Linked DNA regions of Lytechinus pictus. The main gene of each other region encodes a partner of the protein of the gene in region 2 in a complex. Links are inferred from orthologs where the notes say so. Each region holds a gene or a part of one and is shown on either strand. Other genes may lie near its edges.

What was found.
Region 1: crooked neck-like protein 1 (region 2) and G-patch domain and KOW motifs-containing protein-like share a complex: the UniProt entries of both Homo sapiens proteins name them as parts of the minor spliceosome. The link is inferred for Lytechinus pictus from reciprocal best matches to the Homo sapiens genes CRNKL1 and GPKOW.

What each region holds. Positions count from the first base shown.
Region 1 is NC_087247.1:30,698,825-30,706,216, forward strand, and holds the start of G-patch domain and KOW motifs-containing protein-like, read left to right. Parts: upstream 1-4,284; 5' UTR 4,285-4,411; coding exon 4,412-4,578; intron 4,579-7,392. UniProt on the Homo sapiens protein: RNA-binding protein involved in pre-mRNA splicing. As a component of the minor spliceosome, involved in the splicing of U12-type introns in pre-mRNAs.
Region 2 is NC_087251.1:43,100,307-43,107,470, forward strand, and holds the start of crooked neck-like protein 1, read right to left. Parts: upstream 3,019-7,164; 5' UTR 2,883-3,018; coding exon 2,841-2,882; intron 1-2,840. Other genes in the region: cilia- and flagella-associated protein 61-like, read left to right, coding at 4,334-4,479, 5,212-5,362, 5,980-6,056. UniProt on the Homo sapiens protein: Involved in pre-mRNA splicing process. As a component of the minor spliceosome, involved in the splicing of U12-type introns in pre-mRNAs.

The DNA.
Region 1 (7,392 bases), on a different chromosome or scaffold from region 2:
CCCAGTCGGTTTTCATAATCACAATATTTTCAAATTGTATATGCATATCTTTAAACTTTAAAGGTATGCATTAAATTTGAATATATTTGAAGCAAATGTTGTTTTTGACAACCTGAAAGTTTGTCCAAGGCTTGTCTGACATAGCAACAAATAATACATGCAAACTGTCTTCTAACAGGAGATGTTTGAACATATTTAAAGCAAAGTTTGTTGGCTTTTTTAATGTTAATGTGGCCAGTAATGATATCATCATAAGCAAGATAAATTAATTTCGCCCTTAAAAAAAAAATTATCGACCATGTTGTTTCATCATGACTTTATTCAAGTTCAAAGACACTGATATACAATATATACATAAAGAGACCAGGTCCATCGTTTCCATTCCAAACAAATGGCAGGTCAGTACATGGATTACAAGACAAGTAATACGTATATATACCAATATAGATAATTATTTAGAGTAACATAAATGCAGGAAAATAATTAGTTAAAGCTGTCGTTGATATCACGTTGGAAAAAAAAACACTCAATCAGTCTTCTAAATCAGAGCTGGATATATAAATGGAATTAATCAACTACTGCATACAACCTGAAATGTACAGACAACATTACGAGAGGTGTTTTGTACCCAATTTCCACTACGGTATCTTCTTAATTATTATCATTATATATACGGCTGTGATCATTATATGTTTTTGTGTATTCAAATCAACTTAATTAGCTACTGACACAGAAAAGGTTTATGGTCATAAATTAAGGCTGATGAATTTGGAGATGACACCCCCTATAGTTCTAGGAGAAGAAGAAGACGAAGAAGAAGAAAAAGAAAGAGAAGAAGAAGAAGAAGAAGAAGAAAAAGAAGAAGAAAGAATTCGTACTCAATAATATCATCGTGCATATAGGCTTTATATATTGGGCAACATTATTTTTGCAGCCCTATTTCCCAGTCTTCGTTTTTTTGTCTCCTAGTTCATGTTATCAATTCGTCATCATACTCTATTGATAAATGATAGGGGCGTCTATCCATTTTTCAGAGGGGGGGGGGCAAAATCATGAATCAACGTTCCAAAGGCGCTCGATCACATAAAACAAACAAACTCACCCACACACCCACACACACGCACACATAGTTCTATATATATATGTGTATATATATATATGACTCATGAGAAAGACTGGGCGCTGTGGCCTGCGCCTGTAATCCAAGCTATGTGGGGGAAATTACAATTGTTACAGAGTTTCGAGGTTCGAGCCCTGGTCACGTCTTTCGGATGGTGACGTTAAAGGTCAGTCTCAGACGTAGATAATCATTTCTGATTGATACACGTCTGGAAAAATCAAACACACACACATCATGAGAAAGAGACACATATCTCACAAACAAATTTATGCGAGCGCAAAGCGCGAGCTGAATTTTTTTAGTATACTGACCTGAAAACAGGAAAAAAAGTACCTGTTTAGGACTGTTTGTAGTAACTCATGAGGAGGATACAATCTCACTACACAGATAATGCGAGAGCCGAGAGCGAGGTGAAATTTTGTTATATTCTGACATGAAAACTTGATATTATAAGCATTTTGGTACCAATGATTAAGATGAATACCTAAAAGAACAATAGATGCGAGCTGAAATTTTTTATATGCCAATCTGAAAAGTGGACATTTTGAGCACGATTTTAAATAAAGAACGAGTTGTCTATTTCAATCTCGCCTGCCGATTTCTGTGTAACATTACAATCTCATTTTATTTTTGAAAATCCGGAATTATTGGGGGGGGGGCAAAATGATTTATGTTCCCCCCTCCCAATATTTTTATTGGTGGGGCGATCGCCCCCCCCCCCCAGGATCGACGCCTCTGATAATTGATATCATTACATAAATATATTGCAACATAATCCATTACCTTATAATCCAGTAAAATAGGGGAGATTGGGGTTAGTTGGAACGCGGGGTAAGTTGAAACATTTTAATTTTCTTTAACGCCTTTAAATAAATTTATGCAATACTGCCCTCAATTTATTGCCATTATCAACAACCATCCACCATATTACAGACAACACATGTGCAACAAGCCTGGTGAAGTTAAAAAGGAATTTTAGTTTTTATCACCTGAGTATTTTTTTTTCTTTCAGAAATGTTTTATTATCTCAGAGAAGTTTATAGATCAAGTTGGCCAGTTTGGGGGTGTAACAGACACTTGAACCAAGCTACAAAATAAGGTTATTAAAGGTCAATCCACCTTAGGAAAATGCCGACTTGAATAAATAAAGAAAAATCAAACTAGAATAGTGCTGAAAATTTCATCAAAATCGGATGTAATATAAGAAAGCTATGACATTTTAAAGCTTCGCTTATTTTTCACAAAACGGTGAAATGCACAACTAGGTGAGTCAGTCGATGATGTCCATCACTCACTATTTCTTTTGTTTTTTATTGTTTGAATTATACAATATTTTATTTTTTATAGATTTGACAATAAGGACCAACTTGACTGAACCATATAGTATTGACTATTGAACAATGCTATTTCCATATGTTCAGGGAGAAATTAATCGATGTATCACTTGACAATGAGGAGAAAATTAGAATATTTCATATTTCATAGAATAAAATACAAAAGAAATAGTGAGTGGATGACGCCATAGTCTCCTCATTTGCATACCAGCCAGGATGTGCATATAACTGTTTTGTGAAATTAAGCGAAAAAATGTCATAACTTTCTTATTTTACATCCAATTTTGATGAAATTTTCAAATCAACTTTTTGTTGGGGTGGACGGTGGACTTGTCCTTTAATATGCCACGGTGAAGTCCTTTTTTGTGCTGTAAGCTTATAATTGTCAAATGGGCCTCTGGGGTTTGTGGGAACAAAATTGAAAGGGCTATTTGGAACATGTTCCAACTTACCATAAAACATAATTATGAATAAAAACATTGGATATAAAAAATGTATACAGCATTTCACACTCTTCTGAACATTGTATCGAAAGCCATGCTTATTTAGGTCTGAGTGTGCATTTAAGGCCTCTTGTAGGCCCCTAATGCAAAATTAACCCTTATCAAACTGGGGGGGGGGAGCGGTCGGTCAATTTGAGCCCCCCTCGCCAAATTTTGTCACTACGCCGTCGCGCGAACTTTTTTGACCGCACCGCTCACTGACTTTTTAATGTCAAGTCTTGTGAATCATTTGAGACCAATTTGCGATGCCCGGGTGCCCGGTTCTGAAATTACGCAACATTTTGTTAGTGCATGTCGGACCCAGAATTGCTCAAAAACGTGATTAAAAAAATCATAAATGTATGATTACTTTTACTTTTGTCGGTTCAAATGGATTTATTTCATGCTATTTATGATCGCAAAAAGGTCCCTGACAAACTGAAGTTCATCGGAAAAAACAATAAAAAACAGAGGTTCGAAAAAACAAAATTAATACAAATTAAAAATACAAAAAATACATAAGAAATTATATTTTTTGCAATTTTTTTGTAGATATTTGTTATAAATGTAAAAAAAATGTAAAAATTAGTATTTTACATGTACCAGATAAATAAATTCAGTTAAAGGAAAAAACATTTTTTTTAAATTAGGGCAAATTTCATACCTGCATATTTGCATAATTAATTAATTAGAAAATATTACCAATTAATTTTGTCATGTAAATTTGATGCAGAAGTACATGAAATTGCTGATACACTTTATTGCATGTAAAATCAAACGCACACAAATACGCGAAATTCTACTACACTGACATTCGGCTTGCGTGAGTGGCTGTATAATAGAAAACATAAAGTTCAACAAATCAGAATACACACTTTTAATATTTTGAACTTGAAAAAAACAAAGTGATTAGGCTAGAACCATGTAATATTACAGTTGTAAGTAGTTTTAGTATAATTCTTAATTGACCATGCAGTGTTCCAACTGAACTTACCCCATACCATGTTCCAACTTACCACGTATATGGGGTAAGTTGGAACTTGCGATGGTCTTGTTCAAAATAGATTTTTTTTTTTTTTTAGTAACCATCACAGAGTTAAAAAAATTATGGGGTACATTTTATTTTGAAGCCCTTAGATATGTGCTTTAAGCTGATATATTGATTGTTTCTCGAATAAAATCTATTTAGATTTTACAGTCATTTTTGTCATAAATGTTCCAACTAATCCCAATCTCCCCTAAAGTCATTATTTGGGGGAGGGAGGGGGCGAGAATCGCGTTACCCTCTCTCTCTCGCTTCAGTTCCTCCGTTGTTCGGAGATCGGCAGGTATATCACTGCAAAAGTTGAGTCAATGAGTCTGGTAAATGTCAAGTCGACAGGGATTGAAATACTAGTACCGTAACTTTTTTCTCCTTCAATTTTTTCCATCTACTTCACCATATCAGAGAGACGGTGGACGACTCAATTTCGAAAATGGAATCTGACGAAGGGGAGAAGAAGAAAGGATTTTCCTTTTCCTTTGCCAAGAAGAAACAAGAAACGAAAACTCTAGAATCTAAAAATATCGGTGAGGCTGAAATTTTGGAAAATAAGACCGAAACGGACTACATTTTATCAGTAGACTCAAAGAAAGTAACAAGGTACGTTCACCAGCCTCAGTTTCAGTTCGTCAGCGGCTCGCCTCAGGCTCAGCGTGGACTTCTGCCGGAACCCACCCGGCGATATTCCAGGCATGAGAGGCTCCGCCACCTCAGTACCGCTTCGCAGGATTTATAATTGAAAATTTTAGATTATGCTCGCAATATTTTTGATATAGGAACCTAGTGCCTAGAAGGCCCTAGATCTATGTCTAGCTGGTCATATTTCCGAATCAATATAACAGTAGAATTTTAAGTAGGCCTAGGCCCCTAATCAGTTTTTGCTTTTTTGGCATGTTTGGAATTGGAGACTCATTTGAAAAAACAACAACAACAACAACAACAACAAAAAATTGAACAACAAGGCACAGGCCGACAGAAGGGGGGGGGGGGAGTGGGGCCACTTCCATTGACAAGCGGATACCATGCGCGACCATGGGGTCTCGAAAAGCACCCTAATCACGTATTTTCCATATTCTGAAAATGCACCCCTCAACAAGTATTGGCGTGTGAAACCCTAACCTTACATGCCTTGGCATTTGAAACAAAACGATACTATTGGCAAGTATTCCCTGAATTGAACCCCTAAACAAGTACAGCGATATTTCAAAATATTACATCACGGACATCGATTTTACCTATATCATTAGGTTTAGTACAGCCCCACCTCCCACACCTCATGCAAATCGTACTCTTGGGGAAAATAGTATATTCTTTATAAAACATTTTAGTCTTAATTTTTTATGGGGCGTCGTGGTCTAGTGGTTACGAAGCTCGTCTTTCAATGAGAGGGACGTGGGTTCGAATCTCAGCCACGGCGTGTTTTCCTTCAGCAAGAAATTTATCCACATTGTGCTGCACTCAACCCAGGTGAGGTGAATGGGTACCCAGCAGGATTAATTCCTTGAATGCACCAAGCGCCTTTAGCAGCTGGAGCTACAGCTGGGGTAATATATAGTGCGCCATTGAATAGGAAACTAGATAAATCGGCACCTCATAAATGCTCTATATTATTATACCCTCGCAAATTTGACCCTAAACTCGTAGCTTTCTTAGCGAAAACAAATACCTTTTTGTCTCACCTGCATAGCAGAGTGAGACTATAGGCGCCGCTTTTCCGACGGCGACGGCGGCGTCAACACCAAATCTTAACCTGAGGTTAAGTTTTTGAAATGACAGCATAACTTAGAAAGTATATGGACCTAGTTCATGAAACTTGGCCATAAGGTTTATCAAGTATTACTGAACATCCTGCCTGAGTTTCATGTCACATGACCAAGGTCAAAGGTCATTTACGGTCAATGAACTTAGACCATGTTGGGGGAATCAACATCAAAATCTTAACCTAAGGTTAAGTTTTTGAAATGTCATCATAACTTAGAAAATATATGGACCTAGTTCATGAAACTTATACATAAGGTTAATCAAGTATCACTAAACATCCTGCATGAGTTTCACGTCACATGACCAAGGTCAAAGGTCATTTAGGGTCAATGAACTTTGGCCGAATTGGGGGTATCTGTTGAATTACCATCATAACTTTGAAAGTTTATGGATCTGATTCATGAAACTTGGACATAATAGTAATCAAGTATTACTGAACATCCTGTGCAAGTTTCAGGTCACATGATCAAGGTCAAAGGTCATTTAGGGTCAATGAACTTTGGCCAAATTGGGGTATTTGTTGAATTACAGCCATAAATTTGAAAGTGTGTTGTTCTAGTTCATAAAACTTGGACATAATAGTAATCAAGTATCACTGAACATCCTGTGCGAGTTTCAGGTCACATGATCAAGGTCAAAGGTCATGTAAGGTCAAAGAACTTTGGCCACGTTGGGGGTATTTGTTGAATTGCCATCATATCTCTATAAGTGTATTGGTCTAGTTCATAAAACGTGGAAATAAGAGTAACCAAGTATCACTGAACATCTTGTGCGAGTTATAGTAGTTTTCAAAATCAGCACTGCTGCTATATTGAATCGCGTGATGCAGGTGAGACGGCCAGAGGCATTCCACTTGTTTCATTATTTTAGTGTTTTTGACACCCTTATTACTTGAAAAAGACATCCTTTTTATGTGTTTTTTTTTTGGTCGTGCATGGATCCACTCGACAATGTAATTGGCCTCCCTGGGGAACAAGGTTATGATATAACATTTCTCTGTTACTACTCCCTGTGTGGTGAAATAAGGTTGGCAATGTTTGGCTTATTTTCTCTTTTTTTCTTTGGAACAAATGCTTGATTTTTTGACACTGTCAGTTTCCATTACAGCTATTCATCATATAACTTTGCTCTAAAGTAAATCTGATTCTTAAAATTATTTTTTCTCAATTAAAAATAGAGATTGAAAAATGACAATTGTCTTGTCACATTTGTTTCCACCAATATAGGGCGTACACAAAAATATGCCAAAAATTCAAGTTTTCGAGCGCTCTGGTGAATACAAAAATTACTCCCAAGTTACTAATGAAAAATAAATTGTATGGAAATTAGTATTTTTGGTCACAAAAGAGATATTTTAATGATTTTTTAAATTGTGTGCTGTGTACAGCATTGGCATACCATAGTCTTAAACTGTAGATTCCCCACAGGCAGGATGGTAATGAACCCTTGAGTGGTTTGGAGTTTGCTCAAGCCAAGAATCGTGGCAAGCCTCAAAGTCAAGGCAAGCTGGAGCTTTATTTAAGTTTAAGGCTCCATCCCAGCAGTAAAAATTCATTTTTGAGGGCTTACGTAAGCATAATGAATGTTCGATGATTGATCTAAATCATCAAGGTAGACAAGACCTTTAAGTATCAGAAAACATTAAATTGTAAA
Region 2 (7,164 bases):
TGCGTTGAACTTTGATTTTTCTCTCAAAACCATGACCATTTTTGGGTGTTGTGAATGCGGTGAAAAGGGCAAAAAATTTTGCTGTGTGCAGTAAAATTTGTACTTCCCCAACGTTACGGACGCGAGCGTCGCGTAACGTTGGGGAAGTACAATAAGAAACAAGATGGCGGCGTAAACATCGGGCAAGTCTCTTCCGTCTTTTCACAATATTTTTTCATTTTTTTGATGAATTCTTGTTTTAAAAATAACAACGAGAGTGTAGAAATGTCGGAAATGAAGTTTTATCCAATGTATGGTAGGGGGTCCTAAAGCTACGCGGGTCCTAAAGCTATGCACCACTAATCGCGCATGCAGTTTTTAATGGCAAATGCGCACTCTGTGTGTGGAACTGTGACTGCAGTGTGACGAACGATTCCTATTCATTTTCTTCTACAGAGGCTGCAGTAAATCTCTAAATGCAGAGAAAACCAAAAACTTTTTGGAATTTTAGAGTTATATTCACTTAAATTTCATTTTATCCTAAAATATTATGAATATATTCTAGAAATTGAGGCACAGGAAATACTATTTTTTTGCATGATAAATCGAGTGCGTAGCTTTAGGACCCCTTCTACATCGGGTGGCGAAATCAAGGTGTTCGGAAAGGGAAATTATAAGATGGCAAATATAGCGATCTTAAACGCTTATATATAAGCGTCGAAATTTGTAGCCATCTCCTTGTATTAGTCTATATTATACGACGTGTCAAATTGTAGCGAACTAGTTCGCTATTTCCAGATCTCCTCTATATATATATACACGACGGGAAATTGTAGCGAACTAGTTCGCTATTTTCCAGATCTCCTCTATATACATACGACGGGAAATTGTAGCGAACTAGTTCGCTATTTCCAGATCTCCTCTATATATATATATACACGACGGGAAATTGTAGCGAACTAGTTCGCTATTTTCCAGATCTCCTGTATATACATACGATGGGAAATTGTAGCGAACTAGTTCGCTATTTTCCAGATCTCCTGTATATATATATACACGACGGGAAATTGTAGCGAACTAGTTCGCTATTTTCCAGATCTCCTATATATACATACGATGGGAAATTGTAGCGAACTAGTTCGCTATTTTCCAGATCTCCTCTTAACGACGGGAAATTGTAGCGAACTAGTTCGCTATTTTCCAGATCTCCTCTATATACATACGATGGGAAATTGTAGCGAACTAGTTCGCTATTTTCCAATTCTCCTCTATGTATACGATGGGAAATTGTAGCGAACTAGTTCGCTATTTTCCAGATCTCCTCTATATATATATACACGACGGGAAATTGTAGCGAACTAGTTCGCTACAATTTCCCGTCGTATGTATATAGAGGAGATCTGGAAAATAGCGAACTAGTTCGCTACAATTTCCCATCGTATGTATATAGAGGAGATCTGGAAAATAGCGAACTAGTTCGCTACAATTTCCCGTCGTTAAGAGGAGATCTGGAAAATAGCGAACTAGTTCGCTACAATTTCCCATCGTATGTATATACAGGAGATCTGGAAAATAGCGAACTAGTTCGCTACAATTTCCCGTCGTGTATATATATATAGAGGAGATCTGGAAAATAGCGAACTAGTTCGCTACAATTTCCCATCGTATACATAGAGGAGAATTGGAAAATAGCGAACTAGTTCGCTACAATTTCCCATCGTATGTATATAGAGGAGATCTGGAAAATAGCGAACTAGTTCGCTACAATTTCCCGTCGTTAAGAGGAGATCTGGAAAATAGCGAACTAGTTCGCTACAATTTCCCATCGTATGTATATATAGGAGATCTGGAAAATAGCGAACTAGTTCGCTACAATTTCCCGTCGTGTATATATATATAGAGGAGATCTGGAAAATAGCGAACTAGTTCGCTACAATTTCCCATCGTATGTATATACAGGAGATCTGGAAAATAGCGAACTAGTTCGCTACACGCTACAATTTCCCGTCGTGTATATATATATAGAGGAGATCTGGAAATAGCGAACTAGTTCGCTACAATTTGACACGTCGTATAATATAGACTAATACAAGGAGATGGCTACAAATTTCGACGCTTATATATAAGCGTTGAAGATCGCTATATTTGCCATCTATAAAATACCGGTTCGGAAAACACGGCGGGATTTTCGTATTAGTGAGTTTTGCGATATTTTCTTCTTGGTTAATGATCTTTAGAATGTTTGCCACAAATTAGTGAAAGATATTTGTTGAAATATTAAAATTGGGATAGTTTTTATTGTTTGAAAACAAAGTGCGTAGCTTTTAGGTCCCCCCATCATACATGATTTAGAATTAGAGCTAGGCCTAGAAGGCTAGATCTTTTAGAAGGAAAGTAGAAATCTCGGGGGTGAAAGTTTCAGGTTTTGGCTTCCATTGTGTGGGTCTATGGGATAGAAGGCCTGGCTTCGTACGAGAGTGACCTTACGTTAGTAAATGATTTTTACTCTCTAACTTTGAAGCCGCCTGGCTACCCCATCCTAAATAATTATGCAATTCTGTTAACCATCATCATTTTTTCAATTTGCATTTTTATTTTTTAATGGAAATATTCAACATTTATACTAAGGAAATAAACACGATTTTTATTTGATTCAATTATTTTTTGTTGTTGGCCACTTTACTCTAACGTTACATGTAAATTAAAGAAAAACATCAATGACGATACGAGTTTACCCTAACTTTATCCTGACCGGAATAACAACTGATCTTTGTTCACATTCATAGCGTGTTATATTTTTTGGAGAAATTGCAATCAATTATTTAGTTATTATTGAATGAAGCAATTTAAAGGAAACTTACCTTCGCAACTTTGGGAACTTTACTTTTGCTAGAAGAAGCCATGTTTATGATAGTATGAGCGTCAAGACCATGAAAATCGTCGATTAGTTTCAAGTTTTTTCAGTTTTTTTTCCTCGGAAGCGAATCTACAAAAAGCAGTTAGACGGAGATGGCGCTTTGAAATATGGCTTGTTCGAGTAAATAAAAAACTAAAAAGGTATTAAAATATTCATAACTCTTACATGCATTCATAACCTCTAAATCGTAGCCATAAAAATATTAAAAAAGATAAATTTAATTTTTTGTACAAGATTTTATTATTTTTTAAATATGTAGTTGTATTTTTTTAGTCACATAATTAAGAGTTTTGTTGCCATAGAGCTACCGCCGCTAAAAATATGCTAGATCTCACCCTTTAATTTTTTTTCACGGATCGAACACAATTTTGTAGAAGTTAAGAATAAGGGTGTGTATGTTATTTCATATAATGAATTCAATATAATGTCCTTGTGTATTGATTTCTGTTTGTGTATGCGTGATTTTGAATATTAATAAATGTGAATAAAAACCTTGTGAAAGAATGGAATGTTTGAATTAACCGACCGTGGACGTCGCGTCGACAGTCTCAGAGAGTGCCAGTCGGGGCCCGTGACCGCGCGTGTGCTTGCTTCCCGCCGCTGCTGGTGTCTGGACTGTCTATGCCATTGGAGTGTCGTGATCGTGCGACTCCCACCCAGGCCAAGGACCTAACTTGAGAAGGCCGCAGAGCTCAACCAAGTTAAGATCCCTTAAACCGGTCAAGAAGAGCGACTGGGGGCGGGGCAGGGGAGCCGGGAGGGGAGGTTCAAAATCATGAAATTATCATCAGTTAAACTTTAATGTTGAGAAAGTTCTTTTCAAAAAAAAAAAATCCCCCAATTTGGCCAATATTGGCAAAAAACATTGGCATCCGTCAGCCGTCAACCGTCAACTGTCTAGATCTACCTCGGGCGATGGTTCGTGTAGGCTCCACTAAGTTGCACTTCAGTCTTCACTACCGCTACCCTCCGCTACACCTAACAGTTACATGTACCTGAACCTTCAGGTAATATAGCGGAGGGTAGCAGTAGCTAGTGAAGCGTAGTGGAGCCTATATACGAACTATCGCCTGAAGTAGCATCCATCATGATCCAGTACGTAAGCAGCTCATGTCGGAGTCGATGTTATATTTATTCAGATCCAAATTATGTTCTTTGACTTGGTTGGCGTGATCATGCCCTGTTTCGGTGGGTCAGCATCGAAGTTTAATTTCACTCGTTCGTATCTCTAATATTTAACTTTTTTTGTTAGTAAATTCTTGAAGCTGTGGACAACGTGTGTTCACTAAAAATAACGATGGGTTTCCTCATTCTCATAATAGACTAGAATTATTTCTAAGACTTATGTTCCTTTCTCAGTGACACATAGAATAGGCCTACACAGCTATCACCTGGTAATCAATCTGAATCTCTTTAGTCTTGCAGGAAAAAGTAAAAATGGCTACTGTTGTCCAGTCAGCAGATGGACCGACCGAAGTGATCAATGCTAGACGAACAGAATCACTTGATGCTCCAAATATCCTGAAGCTGGTTACCAAATCAACTCAGCCACAGTTCGGATTGGTGGATGTTGTGAATATCATGTAAGCATTTCACATTTATGAATGTAATAATAAAAATAATAACAATGATGATGTATGTTTTTGTATAGTGCTATCACATTGTATCATGTTAAATAAATTCAGTGATTTTTTTATTTTGTTCATTCAGTTTCGATCGGTAGGTTTACATGTTTGTTTACTTTCTTCCAAGGTGCTGACACTCAAAGTGCTACAAGGAATAAAGCTTTATTACAATGCATTGGGTTTTATTAGAAGCCACACACAATAACTAAGAAATATCATCAGTCATGGCTTTTCTTGGGAATCAATATCAATATTGAAACTGATAGCCTTGATGGGGAAAGTCTGAGAATGTCAATGTTGATAAAGAATTCTACAGAAAGACAATTATCTGTTTACTACTACCTATTATATGTACAGTAAAATATCCGATCATTGAGCTCATTGATCTATTGCTCCATAATAGTCTTCAACAGACCAAGCTTTGAATGTGTTATCTTGTACATGTACCAGTACCTGAAGTCCATTAAAATAAAAGAAATTATAAAATATGGTGTAAAATTTCATGGCCTTGAAAAGAATGGGAATAATCTGAGAGAAAATGGAACAAAATGAATGAAATCTTGTATACATTTGAATTTCTGAACACAACTTGCATTCACATATTTCATTATTTTGTGAAGATGTCAGACAGGAATTATACTTTATTTACTTACATTCTTGTTTCACATTACATTTTTGCTTCACATACAGTGAAAAAGCAGTCCTGGCAGTGACCCTCAACAATGAAAGAGAAGACATCCTTGCCCATGCTGCGTTCTTTGACTATCCTAACGTGGATTCTGTAGATCACGGGGAATGGCAACAATGGCTCAATACATACTATGATACAGAAGCATGCACAGTAAGTTCATCATACGTGGTGTAAAATGGAGAAAATTACACGGGGGCTTGAGGCGATTTTGCCACCAAAAAGCTCAAAAGAGGCCTAGAAACTCAGAAAAGAGCCTTGGAAATCTCCATTCATTGCAATAATAAAGCTAATCCAAGGTTGCAGAATTAGAAATTCATTAAAAAAAGTAGCCCCCAAAATAAAACAAAATTGCCTGATGTAGAATGGTTCATTAAGCATCTGTTTTATCTCATTATACCAGTGCCTACTTCAAGCAAATTTATCTCACAAAAAAAATTCTTCACTATTTGGTTTATGTGTGCTTACAGTTATATACATGTATTGATGATGATGTGAATGATGGATATCCAGATCTTTCTCAAAGAAATGAAACCATTTATATATTAGATATATATATTGGGAATGTGTCTGAAATGTGTATGTGCTTTGAATTGATGATCATATTCGTGAAATGTCCAAGTGCCAGTGGTTAACAGAAGCATTATGTTTCGAGTCATTTGCCAATAATCCTTTTTTTTTATAATAAAGTTAAATGTGAAATATGTCCAGTTATCTGCAAGACATGATGATACTTCATTAGGGAAGTGTGTGTGTTATTTTGTTCACAGCCCTTGAACACACTGTTTCTACATTACTTTGTGGCCAAACCTGCATTTGCCCATGGGAGTGCTAAAGAGATCATTAGGTAAGTTCATCATTTTAAAGCATTTAGCCTCTCTTGTAAAATACCTGTTATTGAGGATACTTTAACTTGTTTAACCTAGCATTTTCCAAATTATGTGGACATATGTTTCACCTTTAAAGAGTTGTGATATATATCAGTATTCTTTTCACTTTGATTTTTTTCTGATACATTACCTAATACATCCTTCTATCATTTAATGAAGAATGCATGTAAATCAAGGAGCTGTAGTGAAAGAATGGAAGATGTGGGGGCGTGGTACTCTAGTGGTTACGAATCTCGTCTTTCAATCTGAGGGACGTGGGTTCGAATCCCAATCAAGGTGTGTTTTCTTTCAGCAAGAAATTTGCCCTCATTGTGCTGCACTCAACCCAGGTGAGGTGACTGGGCACCCAGTAGAATCAATACCTTGAATGTACTGAGCGCTGAAAGGCAGCTCAAGCTAAAGCTGGGGGTAATAATAATTATACATAATGCACCCCGGAACAGATTATTTGTAGATAGCTGGCGCTATTTAAATGCCTATTATTATTATTATCATCATTATTATTGAGGATAGATGTATAATGAAACCCTGTTATTCGTAAAGTTTCATTTTTTTCAGCAAAGCCATTAAACACAGCTGCCATAGGTTTACTACCTATCTTTTCAAAAGAAAAAAATACATATATACAGTATATTCCATTCTTAGCAATGCAAAATTATATTATTATATTAAAGCCAGTTCAAACCAGCATGCTTGTATAGCGCCACATCAAGTCCTCAACTACTCAAATCAATGCTTTAAAGTTTACCCACACTGCAACATTCTGAGAAGCTTAGTCTTCTGATATCGTCTCACTTGAATAATAACGCACTATTACATTCACTACCTGGGTCCCGTTGCATGAAAGTTACCATCCAATGGTAATTACCATGATGACGCTGATCAACAGCCAATCAAAATCAAGGATTTCAGCAAAGTTCCCATTGAATGGTACCATAATAGTAACTTTTTATGCAACAAGACACTGTTGCATTGTTACCAAGTAGCCAAATAAATACATTTCCGTCAAAACATTTTGTTTCTCTTTACAAGTGAAATTCCAGGCTGATTTAATCTCTATTATTT